Linked DNA regions of Mus musculus. The protein of the gene in region 1 interacts with the protein of each later gene in a biochemical or structural test. Links are inferred from orthologs where the notes say so. Each region holds a gene or a part of one and is shown in the gene's direction. Other genes may lie near its edges.

Region 1 (5,761 bases):
AGGCTGAGGCATAGGCTACGTGTTGGGGGTGACAGACTAGCAAAGACAGGTCCAGGAGAGAGGAAGGGACTCTACTCTTAGAGAAGCTGGGATTTGGGGTAATGATGAAGGGGAGCCTGCACTTAGACAAGTGAGGTAAGAGGCCGCTGAAAAGGGATGGGCAATGCATGGGAAGGGAGCGTGCAAACTATGGGTTTGGGAGTTGTTTCTTGGATAACTATAGAAGGCATACGAGTGTCAGACAGAGACAGCGATGCTGTGTCCTGTGTCCGGAGTGAAGTGTTGGGTCGGGAGGAGAATGATGTTGGGTGTTTGGTCCAGAGTCTGCACTGGGCAGGAAAACAAGGCAGCCCATGTTCTCCCCTACACCTGGGCAAGCAGTACAGTGTGCTCAGCCTAGGACTCAGAGAGAAGAGGAGAGGGATGAGACTCCAAGAGAAAACAGGTGGCCAGAGTAGCGGTGCCGGGTGGTGAGTGGGGGAACCAAGATGGCGGCCATGCTTTCCGCCACAACCCCTGTCCCTGGGAGACAGAGTTTACTAAGAGGAGTCTGAAAGCTATTCCTGGAAATGCCTATCTTGAGATAGCTCAGGCTAACTGGAATTGTAAACTTCTCCACGGCCAAAGTCCCCTGAGATGATACCTGCCTTCTCATACCCTTCCTATGCAGATCTCCAGATGTCCAGATCTCTCTCTCTCTCTCTCTCACACACATATACACACACACCAACTTTCCTTGACTCATTTTCTTTCTTTTCTACCATCTCTCCTTCTTTTGTTACACAGTTTAGTTGGACTGGCTTGATGAGTGTGACATCATTGTTGACCTACAGGAGGGGCCCCTGTCATCAGGAGTCAACACTATTACCAACAAAGGGTTAGCAATCTTTTTTCCCCCAATATTTATTTATTTGTTTGTTCATCTATACAGTGCTAGATCTCAAACCCATGACTCCCCATATGCTAGGCAAATGCTTCATTACTCACACCGCAACTTCTCGATACTTATTTATATATTAGATATTTATGGTCATTGCTGATTGTTGAGGGAACTTGTCTAAGTCCCGATATAATGACCTTGAGTCTTTCCAAGCACAAAAACGTATAGTTGCAGCATGATATCATTAGTATTTTCTTTCTATTTCTTTCTTTGTACTGGCCCAAGTGCCACTCATATATCTCTTGGTAACTGCCTAGGGTCCTAGGGCTGGAGACCGGCCACTCCTGGCGTTGTGATTAGAGTCACTTAATACCTAAAGTAGTTACTAAACAACAAAGGCTCCTTTAGGCCTCCTGTGTCCTGGGACCCAGGGTGAGGACACAGTCAGAGTACCTTGTTAATCTGTGTTGTACTGTGGTGGAGAGAAGCACTGAGAACCAGGTGTATCCATGGGACAGCACTGGAGGTACAAGATCTCTGTCTGCAACCAATGCTGGTAACTACAGCTGTGAACGTGTAATCGCTTTAACGCAAAGCTATTTTATGGTTCCAACTTTACGATTAAAATAATGCCTCTTCTGGGATGTGTTTACAGACAGTAGTCAGTAGGCTATTGGTAGAGAGGCTGGTAGGTTTGACTAATGAAGTGAGGGAGTCTTGCATTTCAGTTGGAAACATATCCCTGGAATGCCAAAAATATTTATTGCGAAGTCTGACTTTTGTATGTTATTGGTAGCATTGTCACTGAGCATCTTATTCAGGGGAACAGTAGGGCTAGAGGGCTTGACTCATATGTATCCCAGAAGGCTTTTCTTGTTAAATGACATCGTTTAGGAAGAAGATATCCTGGCATAGTTTATAAACTTGATCTCTGCACACTTTGACTGGCATTCTAGTTTATCTGTGAGCCTGTGGTTCACAGCCATCTCAGTTTCCCTCTCCATAGAAAGCACCGGGACATTTCTGGCTCTACAGGTAGGGAGCAAAGGGGGCTGGAGTTTCTTCTAGGAATGCTGATTCTAGCGGGGCTACTGCTGTCCCTCAGCAGACAGCAAGGCTCCCGGACTCCCGCTGCCATTCATCCAGCTCGTGCAGGAGCCCAGCTGCCTTGTCTGCCGGGAGGGGCTGCCAAGTGCCCTGCCTACTGGCTGCTTCCCGAGAGTCCCTGCCACTCCACATACAAACACATCCACACACGCTCTGCCTTGATCACACACCGCGCCACTCGATCATTCGAGCACATTCCTTCCTTCCGTCTTACTGTCTCAGCCCTTGACTTCTACAAACCCATGGAACATTTCTGGAAAGACGCTCTTGAACCAGCAGGGTAGGATCGGCTTTTGATTTCTCTCTCTCTTTCTCTCTCTGTAGCTTGAGCGATTTGAGAAAGCAACTTACCTTTCTGCTTAGTGTCTGTCTCCTAGCTGGAGAAGGAAGCTGTGCTGTTTTTCTATGGGGGGAAATCTGTGCGGCTTTTTTTTTTTTTTTTCCCGCTTTCCGGACTTGTAGGATTCTCTGTGCCATTTATATATAATTTGGCAGGCTCAGATTTTTAAAGAGTCTCATCTGAAGTGCTTGCTTTTGCATGTGTTTTTTAAAAGGCATTTGAAAATTGAAAGTGTGATTTATGGGAACTAAATCATCTACGAAAAAATTGCTCTAGAAAGTCATGGTTGCTGGCCATAAAGAGAAATATCTGCGATTCACCTAATGTATTTTTAACCCTTCCTTTGCTGTCAATGATACTTATGGGTGCTAAAACTCATCTTTGTCTTTAGATTTAAGCCAGCTTAGCTGTGGTTTATCCAAAATTATCTGTTTTTCTAAGAATTAGATAAATAGTGTGCTTAGTAGAAAATATTTTTAAAGTGTTACTATTAGTAACAGCAACCTTGACATTTGCATGTGTCAGGTACTTCTCCTGGGTATATGGGCTAGCAATTCAAGTCATATGCTAATGGTTATTTTAGGGGATATTAGGTTGGGGCATATGCAGTTTATTAAGAAAGTACAAACTATCCAAGCTGCAATTTTTTTCTAAATTTGCAATAACAGGTGTGTGTGAGCTCAATCAGAATTTAATTCAATACTGAATAAAAAACTTATTTTAACTTCTCTGTCATTCGAGTATTAGATTCCTGTGTACCCTATGCCAAGGGAACCCAGAAGGTCCATTTGTAGAATTCAAGAGCTGAAAGGTAGGAGAGCCTTTCAAAAGTTTCTGGTTAGACAGACAAGGTTACCGGATCGCCAGAGCTTTAGTCAAGGACCTCAGGTGATATTTTATGGGAAAATGTCTTAGTCCTTGCATGGTTTTCCCAATTTTTGGTTGCATAACCTGTGGAAGGTAGGGACACCCAAGTGTGCCTAACCGAAGGTTTTTCTGAATCATATCCACATGAGAATTTCTAAAGGAAGCAAATTTGGCACCGGGGTCCAACAAAAACAGAAAAGCTAGGCTGGGCAAAATTGCCATGGCTGTGCTTTCTTGGGGAGCGTTTTAAAAAAATTATTATTTTTATTTTTTTGTCAGAAGAGGAAGCTGAAGGCTGGCAGTTTTCTCTTGACTCCAAGTGCAGCTCTTCCTATACATAGTCCATCTCCACTCGTCTGGCCCTAGATGCCTCCTATCTGTGTCCACTGGTGCTAAATATAGCTGTCGGTGGCTGGCTGCATATGCAATCACACACCCCATCCTATTTGCCATATCTCAGTTACAGATACAGTTACCGTCCCTCCAGGGTCATTCTATGCATACACTGCGTACTTCCAGCCAACAAGAAGACTGAATCAAATAGAAAGGAAGACAAAACAGAGACAGATTGGAGCTTGGCAGAGGCACACAGGCAACACATCAGGAAAAGAAAGAAAGAAAGAAAAAAAGAAAAGAAGAAAGAAAGAAAGAAAATGGCCTGTGGCTTAGTCTGCATTTGTTGCAAACCTAGTCTTCCTTGGGATGGGGGGAGTGGTAGGGGCGCGGCTCCTGGAGGTCCCTTTGCTGCTTTCACCCCCTGCAGCGAAATCCAGCAGCGAAGACCTGGAAAGTTAAGTTCAAGGAAGCTAGCGGTTCCTTGGGTGCACGCACAGTGTGATGTTCCCAGTAGTGCCTGGAAGCTGCAGCCCCTGGCCAGTGGCTTCCAGCAGGTTTGTCTAAGAGCAGAGGAGAGGAGTATGTAAAGTTGGAGAACCCGGGAGCGTCTGGGTGCGCTCCTTGGAGTTGGGTCACCTGTGTTCTGCAGGATAGCTCTGCCCCGCAGGGGCAGAGGCAGGGCCAGGGCCAGTACTCGTGCCAAGGGGGACTTGCGCTGCGCCTTCTCTAATCGCAGGCTCTACTCTTTTTTCCAGGTGGCCCACGCGCTGCTGAGCCCTCTGCGTGCGCGGGGAGCCAGTCTGTAACTCGCCGGCTGCCACTTACCATGACCATGACCCTTCACACCAAAGCCTCGGGAATGGCCTTGCTGCACCAGATCCAAGGGAACGAGCTGGAGCCCCTCAACCGCCCGCAGCTCAAGATGCCCATGGAGAGGGCCCTGGGCGAGGTATACGTGGACAACAGCAAGCCCACTGTGTTCAACTACCCCGAGGGCGCCGCCTACGAGTTCAACGCCGCCGCCGCCGCCGCCGCCGCCGCCTCGGCGCCGGTCTACGGCCAGTCGGGCATCGCCTACGGCCCCGGGTCGGAGGCGGCCGCCTTCAGTGCCAACAGCCTGGGGGCTTTCCCCCAGCTCAACAGCGTGTCGCCTAGCCCGCTGATGCTGCTGCACCCGCCGCCGCAGCTGTCTCCTTTCCTGCACCCGCACGGCCAGCAGGTGCCCTACTACCTGGAGAACGAGCCCAGCGCCTACGCCGTGCGCGACACCGGCCCTCCCGCCTTCTACAGGTACCCGCGCCACATCGGGGTGGCCGCTGTGTAAGGCCTGGCCGGGGGAGGGAGCGCACGAGGGGGGTCACCGCGGGCTGCAGGTCTCCCCATCCCAGCCCTCGGGGAAGTCAGAAAGGATTCTTTGGCAGCTTTAAAACAACAGTAACAACACAAACAACAACAACAACAACAACAACAGCAACAACAACAACAACAACAACAACATTCTCTGCCTGTAGCTGTCTTGTGGGAGAGACAGATCCAAACGGCCCTGTCCCCTAATTACACAAGAATTGGAAACTAGTCCAAAGAAGTTATTTATGGGGCAAGTAACCTAAAGGTCCAGGTGGCCTGTGCTAGCAAGGAACCCCTTTATTATTTAAAGCTGCAGGTGTTTGAGGCCAGTGGAGCCCAGGGGAGATTTATTAGTCTTTTTTGTTTGTTTGTTTTAAAATTGTTTCATTGTGTCGGGTTCAATGTTCTTTCAACTAGAGTTCTGGACTGGAAACACCCAAGGTTTACTGAAGAAGATAAGCTTTTAGGCAGAGCGGCCCGTGGATCTCTTTCCCTCTCTTCCCCATTTCTGGGTTCTGGATTGAGTTGCGGTTGCTCATAAATGCTGGTATGGGAGTTGAATGAATGGGTCTCAACAAGTTTTGATTTCTGGTCGAATTCGAGTTCGAGCAGATTGCTGGCATATGACTTCTGACAGCCGGGGATTTATAGGTGTCCCATGTGTTTACAACATATCACACTGAAACACCAGCACAGTAATTCCCCTACAGCTACATTTCATGCCTGGCCCAGCAGGCAGCGAATGCTCTGGAGTAGCACACGGGTTAGCTACGTCCGCACCCCCCACCCCCCAAGGCACTGTGCAAGAAGCCAGGGCAGTCCAGGACACAGGGGAATCCAGGACACAGAGACTCTTCGTGACCTAAGTGACAATTGTTTTGTGT
Region 2 (5,256 bases), about 120 Mb from region 1:
TAACATTTCAGCGTGTGGGTCCCCCTTAACTCCTATGGCGTTGCACACCAGCAGTCCCAGGGTACAGAGATGCTGGGGAGCTGGGCCTCTGGTAACATGCATGGTGGTAGTGAGTATGACAGGTATGAATGGCTCCTACAGACTGGTTCAGAGGTCAGCTCATTTATTGGTTAGCAGGGCTAGATTATATAGCTCCATTCAGGGGGAGAAGGGAGGGAAAAGGACAAGGAGGAAGTGCTGGGGGCTCAGGAGCGGGGCTTCCAAGCATAGCAGCTAGATTAGCAAACTGCAAATCATGTGATCTCTGAGAAGCCAGTTTTCTGGCAGGGCTTTATCAGGATGTAACCTTTGTCTCTACGGAGTTTATTAGGCCCAAATCTGTTAGGGAGAGGCCCTACTCCTGCCATGCCCTCAGAAGGATGTCCAGGGTATGGGCAATGCTCTACCATTCCTCCTCTGGTTTGGGAACCCAAAAGCACAGAGCCCTTGAGGACAGATAGAGTGTTCAAACACAAGAGGCCAAACCTTGTAGACAGAGCAAAAAAAAGCATCTGGAAATCCTTACAAGATCAACACTGGGGATGAAAATAAGAGCAAGAGAGATGTCTGGCTCGAGGCGTCCATGAGTACCCAAGAAGTGAGTTAAATGGGAGGCAACAGGTGACTGGAGACTAAGCCAGAACAAAACATAGAAAAAGAAATTTGGGGCCGAGAGGATTGTATGAGATTTGAATGACTCACTGTGCCCACTCAGTACTGGAGAAAGACTGGGGACCAGCACAGCAGCAGCAGCATTCCTGGGGTCACAAAGATTGTTCCCTCCAAACAGAAAAGGTTGCCTTGTTCACAATCACAAGTGGTTGAAGTGGGGAAACTCAGACCCGCCGTCCCAGTTCGCCTTGCAGAAAGAATACGGACATGCAGAGATGGAAAGACCTGCCCCAACCAAGGTCTTCCTCGGTTGGTGCTCATTCATACAGCCCAGGACTAGATGAGATACCCTGACCCCCAGGCTATCCTCTTTTCACAGTCTCTTCCCAGTCTCTGGTGCACAGGGTGGCATCCCTGGTCCTGACTCCAGCATAACAAGCTGGGAGATGCATTTACCCTGTTCAGCTGGAACCCAACTCTTTTGCTGTTAGACCAGCATTTAAACTCCCTCCCTGGCAGAAAAGCTTCTGTTTAGACATATTCTAGTTTGGAAATGCTCATACCTGCTTGCACCTATGATCACTTTCTTCCCATTTGTTCCTCTAGTGTCTTTAGCCTCCAGCACTGTGGGGTTGGCTGGCCAGGTCGTTCACACTGAAACCACAGAGGTTGTGCTGACGGCTGACCCTGTCACGGGCTTCGGAATCCAACTGCAGGGCAGCGTGTTTGCCACAGAGACGCTCTCCTCTCCGCCTCTGATTTCCTATATTGAAGCTGACAGCCCAGCAGAGAGGTGAGCCCCCTTCCCGGAAGCTTTTCTGCCCTGTGTTTGTGACACCAGCTCTTTGAGAATAACTAATAAATTATGGAACAGGGCTCAGTGAAGGCAAGGCAAAATGTAATGAACTCTCCATTCTGATGATAAAATTTTATGTTCTTGATCAGGTTTCGGGAAAATTATGAGCCCGGGTGGTTTTATTTAGCCGATTTTGTCCATTGGAAAACTAGAGGCTGTATTAATTAGAAAGGAGACAAATCTATTCAAAAAAATGGCATAAGTTCAACTGAAGTTATATCTCTGCATTGCAGGAATGTACATTCATCTTTACTATCTGCTCATTCTGGTCAGATTATCATACTATTTAGTTATAAATTTTTAATTAATTCTCTGGGATACTTCAGAACCCCCTTGCCCACAATTGTAACTGGGATTCAAGAGTGCAGGGCATTGCAGTTGACCTAACATGCTTGCCAATAGCATCAGCTCAACAAGGTCAAATGGTTGTGCTATTTTGCAAAGATGAAATGAGGCAGGGTGGCCAGTCCAACCCCACGATCATCTTCTCTAACTCCTGCCTCTCACATGTGGTTCTGAACTAGATGTGGTGTGCTACAGATTGGAGACAGAGTCATGGCCATTAATGGAATCCCAACAGAAGACAGCACCTTCGAGGAAGCCAATCAACTCCTGAGAGACTCTTCCATCACGAGCAAAGTCACACTAGAAATCGAGTTTGATGTTGCAGGTAAAATCTGAGCCTTCCTTCAGTCAGTGATAGAGTCAGAAGACAGTCATATCAGCTATGGGACAGAAAGACACATCAGCTATGTGTGTATATATGTATATGTGTATGTATATGTGTGTATATATATATATTTAATCCATTCACCTGCCTTCATGTAGGTGAATGGATACAAGTCCAGTAGGTGAATGGATTCAAGTCCAGTAGGTGAATGGATGCTAGTCTAGTAGATGAATATTTGGTCTTTGGGATTAAATAGAATTATACCTGACTCTCATGAGGACTGACAAGGAGGACTCCAGGACTGTTTCTCTAGGGTCAAGAGGATTCTAATCGATGAGCAAAACCGTCTGTAAATACAGACAGGGAAGATAAAGATGGCCATGTGACTGATAACCAAGATGAGTGTATGAGAACCCCTGGGTAAAAACTACTAAGAGAAACCCTAGGTGACAGAGGCAGGGAGGGGAGTACAGATGTTGGCTAAAGTGACCCCGAGGTATTCTATTCTACTTTATTATTTTGCTCTCTTTTGGGGTGGGGTTGGTATACAAAATAATGGGTTTCTTATTCCATCTTATTCCATGCATGAACTTTGCTCATAATTACTCCCTACTACCCTTCCTATTTCTTGCTATCCTGTCTCACCCCCTCCCAAATAGACCCCTCTGTTTCCATGTCATTAGGTAAACAGGCAAACAGACAGACAGATGATAGATAGATAGATAGATAGATAGATAGATAGATAGATAGATAGATTGTAGTTTGATAGATAGATGATAGTTACAGATAGGTAATAGATGGTAGATAGATAGATAGATAGATAGATAGATAGATAGATAGATAGAAGATAGATGATAGATACTTGATAAATAGACTTAAATCTAAGTTCTACATATGACAAAGAACATATTTTGTAATTTTTCTTTCTCCCCACCTCTATCATTAATTCTCTTGTACCCCACCTTCCAGGAAGGTTCTTGGATCTTAGGCTAAGGACTTGTCTTAGTCTCAGAGGAGGAATCTAAAGGGAATTTTGGTCTTGGAGAGGTTGCCAAGCAGTAGCTAACAGAGCTTAGAATTTGATGCAAATTCCCATTTAAGAAAGTAATCAGCCGAGAAGGTAGCTCAGTGGTACACAGCTTGCCCAACGTGCACCATGGCCCTGGACTTTATACCCAGTGCCACTGAAGAAAGACGGAAGGAAGGGAGGGAGGGAGGGAGGGAGGGAGGGAGGGAGGGAGGGAGGGAGAGAGGGAGGGCGGGCGGGCTGCTCTTCACACAGCAAAGTGTTACCACTACATATCCAGGACCTTTTACCAATCAGAAGAGGCATGCCTTTAGAAACAGGGATCACACGCTACCAAACACTTGATATTGTGACTCTCTTGCACAGTGTAGATGAAATAGCAGGCAGGAAAGAAGAACATTTCTATCACCGTATAACCTTTAAGAGAAACAGAAATTTAATTTCAAAAGCTATTAGCATGAGTTTGTGTCTATAAGTTCTCTGAGGAAAATAAAGTAGAGAAGAAAGTCATTGGATGACTAGAGAGGAGCTGTTTCATAGGATGAGTCTCTTAGGAAGTGACATTCAAGCAGAGATTAATGTGCGGAGAAGGCATAAGCAAGGCAAGGGCCTTGAAGAACAGCCTTTCAGCTAGAGGGAGCAGTGAGCATGAAGAAGCTGAGCGAGAGGAGCTTCGCAGTACACATGGCTGCTGGGGTACATAGGGAGAGAGTAAGAGCAGGGGTTGAGTTTGTGTTTTGAGGAAGGGCTTGAAAATGTCAGAGTGTGGCAGGTGTGCAGCATCCTGGTAGACAATTTCTGTTGGGTCCCAAGTGTGCTGAAGCCAGGAGGCATTTTGGCAGGAGAACGAGATAATCTGAGTTATGTTCGGGAAAAGCCTTCTAAAATGTGGAAGGGAGACTGAAGAAACAACTTGGAGACTGTGGCAACTGAACAGATGGGGAATGTCAGTGGCTGACTAGAGACGGCGGCAAGGTAAAATTCAAAACTTGCCTGTGTCTTGTAATGTGTCTGTGTCATGTAATGGCTCTTGAGGCATGAGGATGGATAGATGAGAGACAGAGAGCGATGGTTACAAGAATAACCCTGGAAGAGGGTCATCTGGAGGCAGCAGTGAGAGTTCTATTTTAGATCCACAGTACCAGGTCCACTGATGACATGAGAGGGAATATACCAGCTTATGTGTGTCTTCATCCAGAAGAAAACCATGGGGCACAATTACTGCACTATATGCTGCTGTGTTCAAACCATGGGAAGAGAAAATAGGAAAGACCAGTGTATTTCCTGGAGAAGCTCACGGACAATCAGAGAAGAGAATGATGGCTGAAAGAGGAGGGACTTGCAGGGTTGTGTGGCTATCAGAATGTGGGAATAATACCTAGAGAAGTGTTGGAATTTCCCCTTGTATCCCGGGATGGGGGAATGAGGAGGGATATAAAGAAGGGCCAAGAAATGGCCAGTGGGTGACACACTTCCTCCAACAAGGCCACACCTTTTCATAGTACCACTCCCTGGGCCAAGCATATTCAAACCACCAAGGCCCCGTCTGTACTGTCTGTTTATCGCTCTCAGTTCTCATGGTAAAGTAGGGTTCTATTGTTCTTTAATCGGTTGGTGCATTTTGATTTTGTTGCTGTGTTTTGTTTTGTTGGATATTTTATCTGTGTGTATGGGTATTTTCCCTGCATGTATGTCTGTGTAGCACATACGTGCCTGGTACCTGAGGAGACAGGGAGCCTCCATATGGATGCTAGGCATCAAACCTGAGTCCTTTGCGAGAACAACAAGTGCTCTTAACCACTGAGCCAACTCTACCCCTGGTTTTGGTGGTTTTACGGAGTATTAGATACCAAAGAATAAAAGCAGAGAAATGGATTATCAGATGGAGCCAGAGTTTGAGACTTGCAGAGAAAGCTCAGCAGAAGGGCTTCAGTCAGGGAGGGTCGGGTTGTTGCTAGGAGATGATGAGCTGTGAAGCTGGTACAGAGACTGTCACCATGTGAGAGGTGCCTATGTTCTACCTGCTGCATAGCTAAGCCCTGTGCATCGTAG

What was found.
Region 2: the proteins of Esr1 (region 1) and Grip1 form a complex in vitro, tested with the Homo sapiens proteins (2 studies listed by BioGRID and IntAct). The link is inferred for Mus musculus from reciprocal best matches to the Homo sapiens genes ESR1 and GRIP1.

The regions. Positions count from the first base shown.
Region 1 is NC_000076.6:4,708,028-4,713,788, forward strand, and holds the start of Esr1 (estrogen receptor), read left to right. Parts: upstream 1-2,130; 5' UTR 2,131-2,267; intron 2,268-3,938; exon of another isoform or gene 3,939-4,084; intron 4,085-4,285; 5' UTR 4,286-4,356; coding exon 4,357-4,820; intron 4,821-5,761.
Region 2 is NC_000076.6:119,998,495-120,003,750, forward strand, and holds part of Grip1 (glutamate receptor-interacting protein 1), read left to right. Parts: intron 1-1,257; coding exon 1,258-1,444; intron 1,445-2,031; coding exon 2,032-2,177; intron 2,178-5,256. UniProt on the Homo sapiens protein: May play a role as a localized scaffold for the assembly of a multiprotein signaling complex and as mediator of the trafficking of its binding partners at specific subcellular location in neurons.